Linked DNA regions of Arabidopsis thaliana. The protein of the gene in region 1 interacts with the protein of each later gene in a biochemical or structural test. Each region holds a gene or a part of one and is shown in the gene's direction. Other genes may lie near its edges.

Evidence for each region.
Region 2: of the proteins of AT1G08590 (region 1) and LHCA1, one has a biochemical effect on the other in vitro, tested with the Arabidopsis thaliana proteins (one study listed by BioGRID).
Region 3: of the proteins of AT1G08590 (region 1) and AT1G54410, one has a biochemical effect on the other in vitro, tested with the Arabidopsis thaliana proteins (one study listed by BioGRID).

Annotation. Positions count from the first base shown.
Region 1 is NC_003070.9:2,716,820-2,720,576, forward strand, and holds the start of AT1G08590 (Leucine-rich receptor-like protein kinase family protein), read left to right. Parts: upstream 1-1,718; 5' UTR 1,719-2,039; coding exon 2,040-3,757.
Region 2 is NC_003074.8:20,339,033-20,342,789, reverse strand, and holds LHCA1 (chlorophyll a-b binding protein 6), read left to right. Parts: upstream 1-1,613; 5' UTR 1,614-1,867; coding exon 1,868-2,058; intron 2,059-2,371; coding exon 2,372-2,474; intron 2,475-2,561; coding exon 2,562-2,850; coding exon of another isoform or gene 2,851-2,909; exon of another isoform or gene 2,910-2,941; coding exon 2,942-3,084; 3' UTR 3,085-3,286; downstream 3,287-3,757. Other genes in the region: CXIP1 (CAX interacting protein 1), read left to right, coding at 419-940. UniProt on the Arabidopsis thaliana protein: The light-harvesting complex (LHC) functions as a light receptor, it captures and delivers excitation energy to photosystems with which it is closely associated.
Region 3 is NC_003070.9:20,309,192-20,312,948, reverse strand, and holds AT1G54410 (dehydrin family protein), read left to right. Parts: upstream 1-2,098; 5' UTR 2,099-2,347; coding exon 2,348-2,644; 3' UTR 2,645-2,645; intron 2,646-2,910; 3' UTR 2,911-3,476; downstream 3,477-3,757. Other genes in the region: AT1G54420 (uncharacterized protein), read right to left, coding at 531-873, 1,311-1,330. UniProt on the Arabidopsis thaliana protein: Intrinsically disordered and metal-binding protein. Binds to the divalent cations cobalt, nickel, copper and zinc, but not to magnesium, calcium, manganese or cadmium.

The DNA of each region.
Region 1 (3,757 bases):
TTCCATTCGGTATTTTATATTTTAAAATGTTGATTATGATAAAAAGTCCCATATGGGTGCATGTGAAATATGAAAGGGCATATTATAAAGTTAGATTTGAGCAATTATTTTTTCCTTCTTATGAATATGATAATAGAGGATAAATTTGAAAGGACAAAGAACTTTAATTAGAGGTACTGTCCATATCTACCTTGCAAACCTACAACAATTAAATGTGTTGGACGAACCGATAGTCGATACTCGATAGTCGATAATGGATATATATGCTCGAGGTACGTAAAATTTAGATGTTAATCCGCAAGAATATATAGAGTTGTGCTAGATGTATTAATTAAGATATCGATCTCCAAAAAGTCTATACACTCACGAGAATATGTTTCATATAGTTTTTGGGATCAATTATGGTGATTCTTCTAATGTGAACATGATTCATTCATTTAATGGGTATATCCGATCGAATATATATGTTTTAGATTTTAAGAACAAAATAAAAATGATAGATGGCCCTTTTCGATGGTTCTAAACTTTATTTTGATATCGTGAGAGCACTTAATGCTACTTTGTTCTTCACGCAATCAGCATGCATATTTACTCACAAGTTGCAACCACACGAATATAAACAAATTCGGTTACGGACTTAGGGCTACATATTCAGTTACGTCTTGATGTCATATGCATAGTTTATTGAAGCTCCTTGTCTAAAAATGCATTAATATGCAAACTTTATGCATATATCATATGTATGGCCTTAAATCTCTCAACTCAAACTAATATACAGAGAAAAAAAAATTCTGATAATCGTATTTTGAAAAACATTAAAATCTGTGTTTATAAGATCTAGAAAAACATATATGTCTACATGAATGCAATAATTTAATTAATGTATTTGTATTTTTTTTTTTCAATGCATGTGTAAGTAGATATATTTGATGTATGTATATCTCTCTAGTCTCTACGTAGGTGTCATGGGACGTTCCTAGCTACTTGCAACTTGGCAATGGAGTTATGAACTTTCTTATTTCCTAATTTTAATTATGTTGGAACAACGTGGGAAGATTCTCTCACGACCATCATCTTTCATGTGTGTTTTTTTAATGACGCCATTCGAAACAAAACATTCTCCCGACTAATGAAGACATGCGGAAACTCAACCTAGCTCGACCGCCAAGGATGATATAACTAACCTTATAACCAATAAAAACTTTGCGTTCTTTAGTTACTCATATTTAAGTGAAGTTAAATCATTTGTAAAAAAACATTGTTTGTGTCAAATCATTGGTGAGGTAGAACTAAAATGGTAGTTTTCTTAAAAGACTTTGATCTTGCCTAATTAGCCATCATCTTTGAATAGAAAATAGTTATATTGGACAGTAAGTGAGACACATTCTCTGCCCATGTTTCACTGTCCCACAAATCTCTAATGAGGACAAAGCTTTACAAGTCACTCAGTGTTTTATGATTTAGCTAGCTGTTCAGAAACCCACGATTTCTTCATATTATATATCCCATTATCATTATTTTAATCTTCTTTCTCACCGCTTAGTTGTTTGATATTGCACAGATCAGCAAGATAATCCTTCAGGATATGGTTATGGAATTAGTGCTCCTCAAAATTTTCGGTTCGACTTTATTCACAATTTAGCATTTGGGTATGCATATGAAACAAACTTATAATCTAATTTCGTTTTCTCAAACACAATTCACAATTTAACACACGAAGATAGATGAAAACATCAAGGAAATTGTATCACTTTTTCTACTATGTAATGTCACAGATGCAGAAACAAAGCGAACTACTTGCTATCATACAAATTGTTATGACGCCAATGGAACTCGCATATTATTCCACCGAACGAAAAAGAAACACAATCATGATAAAATAATTGAGAGAGATTAAATAAAATTAGATTCTGACTAATCATTGTTTTTCAGCTTTTGGTTTCCACTCTCTTATTATCAACTTCGCTTGGGGACCTTCAATCTCAGTTGCACAAAAATGCCATAAAACTAGCCAAAAAGTGAAGAAATAGAGGAGAAAAATGGCGATCCCTCGACTTTTCTTCCTCTTCTATTACATTGGTTTCGCTCTTTTCCCTTTTGTTTCTTCTGAAACATTTCAAAACTCCGAACAAGAGATCTTGTTGGCCTTCAAGTCAGACCTTTTTGATCCTTCAAATAATCTCCAAGATTGGAAGAGACCTGAGAATGCCACAACATTTTCTGAGTTGGTTCATTGTCATTGGACAGGAGTTCACTGTGATGCAAATGGCTATGTGGCTAAGCTTCTTCTCTCCAACATGAATCTCAGCGGAAACGTGTCAGATCAGATTCAGAGCTTCCCTTCTCTGCAAGCCCTTGATCTCAGCAATAACGCATTTGAGTCTTCTCTTCCTAAATCTCTTTCTAATCTCACGTCTTTGAAGGTCATTGATGTGAGTGTGAACAGCTTCTTTGGAACCTTCCCTTATGGTCTAGGAATGGCAACTGGTCTTACACACGTCAATGCCTCAAGCAACAATTTTTCGGGGTTTCTACCTGAAGATCTTGGCAACGCAACTACACTTGAGGTTTTGGACTTTCGAGGAGGTTACTTCGAGGGCTCAGTGCCTTCTTCTTTCAAGAATCTCAAGAATCTGAAGTTTCTCGGTCTTTCGGGTAACAACTTTGGTGGAAAGGTACCGAAGGTGATTGGTGAGCTCTCTTCCTTGGAGACCATTATTCTTGGTTACAATGGCTTCATGGGTGAGATTCCAGAAGAGTTTGGGAAATTGACGCGCCTTCAGTACCTTGATTTGGCTGTTGGAAACCTTACAGGCCAGATTCCATCTTCTTTGGGGCAGCTGAAACAACTTACAACAGTTTATCTCTACCAGAACCGTCTCACAGGGAAACTTCCTCGAGAACTTGGTGGTATGACTTCTCTTGTGTTTCTTGATCTGTCTGATAACCAGATCACAGGAGAAATACCTATGGAAGTAGGTGAGTTGAAGAATCTGCAGCTTCTAAATTTGATGAGGAATCAACTCACGGGAATCATTCCGTCAAAAATTGCTGAATTACCAAACCTTGAGGTTCTTGAGCTGTGGCAGAACTCTCTCATGGGTTCATTACCGGTGCATCTCGGCAAAAATTCCCCATTGAAGTGGTTAGACGTCTCATCAAACAAGCTTTCAGGAGATATACCATCAGGATTGTGCTATTCCAGAAACCTCACAAAGCTCATTCTCTTCAACAACTCATTCTCAGGTCAGATTCCGGAGGAAATCTTCTCATGTCCGACTTTAGTTCGTGTTCGAATCCAGAAAAATCACATTTCCGGATCTATACCAGCTGGTTCAGGTGACTTACCAATGCTTCAGCATCTAGAGCTCGCAAAAAACAACCTCACCGGTAAAATTCCAGATGATATAGCCTTATCCACATCACTCTCATTTATAGACATATCATTTAATCATCTCTCATCCCTATCTTCCTCCATTTTCTCAAGTCCTAATCTTCAAACCTTCATTGCCTCACATAACAACTTTGCCGGAAAAATTCCTAACCAGATTCAAGATCGTCCATCTTTGTCTGTCCTCGATCTTTCCTTCAACCATTTCTCAGGTGGAATCCCAGAAAGGATCGCTTCTTTTGAAAAACTTGTGAGTCTAAATCTCAAGAGCAACCAATTGGTTGGAGAAATCCCTAAGGCATTAGCCGGGATGCACATGTTAGCTGTTCTTGATCTCTCAAACAACTCTTTGACGGGGAATATACC
Region 2 (3,757 bases), on another chromosome or scaffold:
GTTGATTGGAGAAGTTATATGATAAGTTTTAATCGTTTATGGGGTTTTATAGGTGTGTAGAGATATATACATACCTTGTGAATGAAGAAAAGAGAACTAGCTCTGTGTTGAAAAACTGAAAAGCATTTGATGCCCTGATAATTTCTCTAAAATTATTAAACCGAAATACTAATACGATCCAAGTGGAACCAACCAATTTCTTAATATCTAAAATACCGGAATCTAAAGAGTCGAACCAAACCGAACCGGAATGTCCTCTAATTTTTATTTTTAAACCCATGATTATGACATGCACTACCGGCTTAGTGGTGATGTTTGGCAACATGGTTTATTCAATTCTCACTCGCACTGAGTGTCTGTGGCTCATAAATCATTTACCTTTTCAATTTCTCAATTCCAAATCTAAAAGTCGTCAAAAATGGCTCTCCGATCTGTCAAAACGCCGACCTTGATAACTTCGGTCGCCGTCGTCTCCTCCTCCGTTACCAACAAGCCTCACTCTATCAGATTCTCTCTTAAACCAACGTCGGCACTCGTCGTCCATAACCATCAGCTATCGTTCTACGGTTCGAATCTCAAGCTGAAACCAACTAAATTCCGATGCTCAGCGTCGGCTCTTACGCCGCAACTTAAAGACACGCTGGAGAAACTGGTGAATTCGGAGAAAGTGGTTCTGTTTATGAAAGGAACGAGAGACTTCCCGATGTGTGGATTCTCCAACACTGTGGTTCAGATTTTGAAGAATCTGAATGTTCCTTTCGAAGATGTGAATATTCTGGAGAATGAGATGTTGAGGCAAGGACTTAAAGAGTATTCGAATTGGCCGACGTTTCCTCAGCTTTATATCGGCGGTGAGTTTTTCGGTGGTTGTGATATTACTCTTGAGGCGTTTAAGACTGGAGAATTGCAGGAAGAGGTGGAGAAAGCTATGTGCTCTTGATCCTGATTTCAATACTTGGTTTTTGTGATGATGGAATTTGATCTTATCTATCTATCTATCACCTGGGAAAAAAAATGTGATTTTGATGTTTCAGAGTTTGTGGTTGTAACATTAAGAGACATATATTGTATGATGGATTTAGGTATACAACAGTTGGAGTTGCTTGGAATTTGAGTTTCCTTTGTCATATGTGTTGGCCTGCAAATTTGTGTTGTTTGTTGAAAGGTTTATGTGTGAAGTAGTGCTAGTAGAATCTAAGTTTGTTTCTGACTAAGAGACATGAAGTCATGGGTTGTTATGCTCATTCATATCCTGATTGAGATACAATTTAAAGAAACTTAGTTCCAAAGATTCTGAACATTCACCGGTACAGTGTGTCTGCAAATGGTATTCTGTCTCACTTCAATGTCTAAACACGTTGTCTCAAAATGTATCGTTTGTTAGATACTCCTTTCAAGACATATGATTTAGCCTCGCATGTGTTCGTTGATCCAAGTTTTACCGGTTTGATAAGTCTCCAGTCTTAGCAATAAATCCAGACCGGATTCATGACCAATCGCAGATTTACCGGTCCGGGTCAAGTTTTAAAACATTAGTAGAAATGTGTTTCACCGAACAGGAAGACTTATCTGATAGCATCTCGTTGCAGTGGATAAATGGCAAAATAGTAATATACGTAGATTCTGCTTTTATCTGAACCACATAGTGCAGATGGATATCGAACAGAAGAACATGATATCGAGAAGACACGTGGCCCAATGAAAAAGCCACGCAGGCTCTGTATAGCCAATTGCAATCTGGTTTTAGATTCTCATCTCACAAATCTTACTTATACGATCAGTCTCCCACATTCACACTTCCACCAAACACCTCTCGTCCACATCTTTCTCCTTTGGTGGCAAACACAACGACAGATAGAGAGAAACGATGGCGTCGAACTCGCTTATGAGCTGTGGCATAGCCGCCGTGTACCCTTCGCTTCTCTCTTCTTCCAAGTCTAAATTCGTATCCGCCGGAGTTCCACTCCCAAACGCCGGGAATGTTGGTCGTATCAGAATGGCTGCTCACTGGATGCCTGGCGAGCCACGACCAGCTTACCTTGACGGTTCTGCTCCTGGGTACGCTTCGAACCCTTTTACTCTGTTTTGTTGCTCAGTTTGGAATCAGAATTGTTTGTTAGATTACTCTGTTTTGATGACATGATGCAACATTGTACGTTTTGTGAAAGATTCAATTTTTTTTATGTTATTGGGTATTCATATTTCAGAAAGTTGTCTCCTTTCAGAATTTGAATTCCCTTTAGTTGTGTATTCAGAGATTCTAGATAGATTACTGGAACCTCTTTTGATGACTTAAGGGTTCTGATTTCAACATTGGAGGTTGTTTAGAAAGTTTCAGTTTTTCTAAGTTATTGGGTACAACATTGTGCAGTGACTTTGGGTTTGACCCACTTGGACTTGGAGAAGTTCCAGCGAACCTTGAGAGATACAAAGAGTCAGAGCTCATCCACTGTAGATGGGCTATGCTCGCTGTTGTAAGTTTCAATATCCAATCTTTGTCTTATCATAAGGGTTTAGTCTTGTTAAGTTTAATCTAATGGACTTGGTGGGTGGTGTTGTAGCCTGGGATTTTGGTACCAGAAGCATTAGGATATGGAAACTGGGTTAAGGCTCAGGAATGGGCAGCACTACCAGGGGGTCAAGCCACTTACTTGGGAAACCCAGTCCCGTGGGGTACTTTGCCCACAATCTTGGCCATTGAGTTCTTAGCCATTGCATTTGTTGAGCACCAGAGAAGTATGGAGAAAGACCCTGAGAAGAAGAAGTACCCGGGAGGCGCATTTGACCCTCTTGGATACTCGAAGGACCCCAAGAAGCTCGAGGAATTGAAAGTTAAAGAGATCAAGAACGGTAAGCACACACAACAACTTACCTTTCTTGATCAAACTTATGTACAAATGTATATCTAATGTTGGTGTTTTTTGCTTGGTGGGTGTAACAGGGCGGCTTGCGCTGTTGGCGTTTGTAGGATTCTGTGTGCAACAGTCGGCTTACCCGGGGACAGGACCATTGGAGAACTTGGCAACTCACTTGGCGGATCCATGGCACAACAACATTGGCGATATTGTTATCCCTTTCAACTAATGAATGTAAAAATAGAAATATGTGTACCTTATGAGCTTTATGTGTATCAAAAACACTGTGTAATGAAAGACAGATTTGTGAATTCCTGTAATTTGTCTTGGTGATCGAATGCTCGTGTGAGCTTGAATTCTAAGTGATGAACCTTTTGAACCCAAATACACATTACATCTCATGCTTCCTACAGAAGAAACATTGTAAGCTCATGACTATTTGTTAGATTTCTCAACAATCACATTCACATACTATAAACTCCATAACAGAAGAAACATTGTTAGCTCATGATTATTTGTTAGAGTTCTCAACTCTATCCAAATATGCTTTTTGTTTATATCAACTTAGATAAATGGTTATTGAACCACACCAAGATACATGCATTTTACATTTGAGTTTTGATGAATATTTTCTATTCATCTTTTTTCCCCCTCATTTTTACCTTCTACATTTTTTCATATTGAACAAAAACAATCCTGTTAATTTTCTTCCCTCTCTTTTCTAGTAAAATCATTTAAGGATTTTTTTTGAAATTAGTTGATGTCTTTCTTATCACATTTGTTCTATACTTCTACTAATTTTTCTTTTGTTCTTTTGCATACTAATCTTCACCTACAAAATAGAGTACTCTCTAAACAGAGTCTTGGAAAGTTTTGTCTTCCTTTTATATTCTCAACTATAA
Region 3 (3,757 bases), about 18 Mb from region 1:
AACTTTTAAAGGCCCAAGGACTTCCAAGCTATTGAGCCTCTGTTTTGGTTTTGGCCAACGACAGTACCACAAATAAAATTGGTCAGAATACGTAGTTCATATTATAATAAGTGAGCTAGGTCATCGTTGGAGGTAGGTCGTATATTGAGATAGGCAGTTTAGAGAGGAGGTGGCAGGTTGGTGACGAGCTGGCAGCTAGGCGACGAGCTAGCAGATGTGTGACGAGCTGGCAGGTAGGCGAAGAGCTGGACGAACTTAGTTACGAGGCGAACTGGTTGATAGACAACGAGTTAGACGAACTGAGTATTTGAGTGACGAGCTGGTAGCCAGGGGCCAAGCTAGACGAAATGTAGTAGAGAGACGAGCCGGACAAATCGAGTTCTGGTGAAAGTATAGACGAGCTGGGAGACGAGATAGGCGGATTGTGTAGTCAATGGACGAACTGGCAGCTAGGTGAGGAGATAGATTTATGCACTTGAGGGACGAGCTAACGACTAAGTGAGGAATTGGACGAGCTGACTAGCTGACAGCTAGGCGAGGAGATGGTCGTTGAGTGGTGGAGCTTGAAGACGAGCTGAACTTAAAGACGAGCTGGAGAGCTTAAAGACGAGCTGAGGAGCTTGAGGACCAGTTGAGGAGCTTGAGGACCAGCAGAGGAGCTTGAGGGCGAGCTGAAGTGCTTGAGGACAAGCAGAGGAGCTAGAGGACGAGCAGAGGAGCTTGAGAACGAGCTGAGAAGCTTGAAGACGAGCTGAGGAGCTTGAGAGCGAGCGGATAAGCTTGAGGACGAGCAGAGGAGCTAGAGAACGAGCTGAGGAGCTTGAAGACGTTTTAATATGGATTTCTTCCTCCTTTTTTCCTTGAGATGCCTCTCTATTTATAGAAAAACTAAGCTGGTGATATGGACCAACTTTTATGGGCTTTTTGGGATTGATGTTGATTAGTTTATTCTTGATTTGGGCCGAACTAAAATGAGGGGTGCAAATAACAAAGATATTCCCCTTTTAATCAAAGATCAGTAAAAAAAATCGAAGTTATAATTACATACTAACAAAACCAAAAACAAACCACCCCGTGCAACGCGCGGGTCTCCTCCCTAATGAAAATAATTACTTACATATATATTGCATTATTGTGTATACTTTTCAAAGTCATTCATATTATTGCCGACACAGCAATATATAACAAAGGATTCTGGAATATGAGAATATAATGTAGTGGCCGACCATATTTAGCATTTATTCATAGTTCACTACACGACAAATCATACGCGCGCATTTACCTTAACGGTTTTTTTTTTTACAACTTACCTTAACGGTTTAACCCACATGGTTTGGAACTTTGGATATTATTTTGGTCAACTTTTTCTTACAAAACGAAAAGGGTTCTATTTTCTAAGATGTATATGAATTGTCAAGCAAGCACCTATCACATTATGAAGATTGTCTTCATCCATTTCTCTCATATTTCTATGTTTGCCAAACAATATTGTTCTTTGAAATAAACTTTCAAAATCGAAGATTTTCAATTTCATTCGATATAATTGCCACTGGTTAAAATTCTTTTTTTTTCACGAAATTTTCACTAAAATTATAAAGACGATACGAACTGGGTAGTTGAAACTAAAGAGTTCAAACTTGAAGTCTATTTCAAAGAACTGGGTGGTTATTTTCTTGGAATGTAACCTTCACTTCTTTGAGATTAAAATGTGTTTCTAAGAGTCTAATTTGGTTGATATTTCATTTTTGGTTATAAATTTTACTAGATTGTTTCTTGAGACATCTTATTGTTTTAATCGGATTATGCATTTGAATTGGGTCGCAAAGTAACAAAACTATTTAAACAAATATATAATCACACGTCTGAGTTAGTTTGTTTAAATCCAAATTTTAGTTCTTTTAATCCCATCTATACTATATGCCTTCAAATTATATACTATGGTCCTAATATGGACATAGTCAGAATCATTTAAAAAAAATATCTAAAAGAAATAAAAATTGCAACCACATAGTAGTTGAAAATATCTAAGAGAATATAATATTTCTTTCTTTTAAAGGAATATAATCTACCCCAATTAATTGTATCATTATTTCCAGTTAAAGAACCAGTACAGCACATTGGAAGAATTAATCTTATCTTCGCCACGCCATATATCTTTCTTTCTACTATAAAGTAATCTCTAAGAAAAATACAAACCAATAATAATATCTCATTGATAGTGATAGATTAGTATTAATTATCCATTTTGGGCTATAAATAGAGACCCTTTGAGATCCAAGTTTATCGTCAAAGCAACCAAACACATAAAAGAGAGATTTAATACAAAAGAAAGAGAAAAAAGAAAGATATGGCAGGACTCATCAACAAGATCGGAGACGCACTCCACATTGGAGGAGGCAACAAGGAAGGTGAGCACAAGAAGGAAGAGGAACACAAGAAACACGTTGACGAGCACAAGAGTGGTGAGCACAAAGAAGGTATTGTTGACAAGATCAAAGACAAGATCCACGGTGGTGAAGGTAAAAGCCACGACGGAGAAGGCAAAAGCCACGACGGTGAGAAGAAAAAGAAGAAGGACAAGAAGGAGAAGAAACATCATGATGATGGTCACCACAGCAGCAGCAGTGACAGCGACAGCGATTAAGGTTTTTATAACTTCTTAATCATATACATAAATCATGAACAAATATTTACTAATAAGGTTTGGATCTTGGTTTACCAAAAAACAAAACGGTTTGGATCTTGAAAAAAAACTACGTGTTAATTAGTTGTAGATATAAGATTAAGGTTTTTTTTTCCTATACTTAAATAATCAAGATTTGGATCTTACAAAAAAAAAGACTAATATATTATTTAGGATGTACTATATTCAATAACTGTTTAATTTATTAAATGTTTGTTGATTTGTAGGTGAGGAAGTGAGGAGGATCGCTTGAATAAAACAGATCTGGTTCTGGCTATTATTAATTAATGTTGCTGTATGTTCTTATCATCTTAGAGAGAGGTTAAAGACAGGAGAACCGTGCATCTATCTTTGTTTGTTATGTTTCTGTTTTCTTGTCATGAAAATTATGCTCATGTATCTTATCTAAATCAAAAATAATAATTTGATGAATCATAACTTGTAAGACTTGTTATTTAATTTTAACTTGGGATCTATGTTTCTTTAGAAGATCAAAACTTTTATCTGTTGAAAAAAAGTGAGAAGATCAAAACTTGTTGATAAACATATATAGATGATAGGTTTCACGTATACTAAAAGAGTAAAAAAAATTTTTTTTAACAATACATACACCATTCAGTAAATGAACTTAAATGATTGTCAAATGATAATAGATGTTTGAGAAGAAAAAAACAATTAAAAAAAGTTTGATGTTTGACCAAAGCGAAATTATTTTTTTTCTTTAGAAAGAAAACTTGTTTTCATGACAATGGCCTTCTACAAGAAAAAGTATTTGTTAGTGTTTGCTCTCAATAATGTTTTCCGAAACATTAATCAGTTTTCTGAAAACTAAAAGTTTATCATCAAAAGAAAAAGTAAAAAGTAAAAATAAAACCAAAAGTTTATATATTCCTTTTTTGTTGTTGTCAAATAATAGAATCCAATGCCAAAAACATAAGCAAACCGACATGAGTTTTTTTTTCTCAATCTCTGATTCAAAACCTAACGTTGCTTCTTTCACAGTGGTTGGAATTGATTATTTCAACCACCAAAAATAAGATTCTACCATTTTCAATAAATGAATTGTCAACTAGT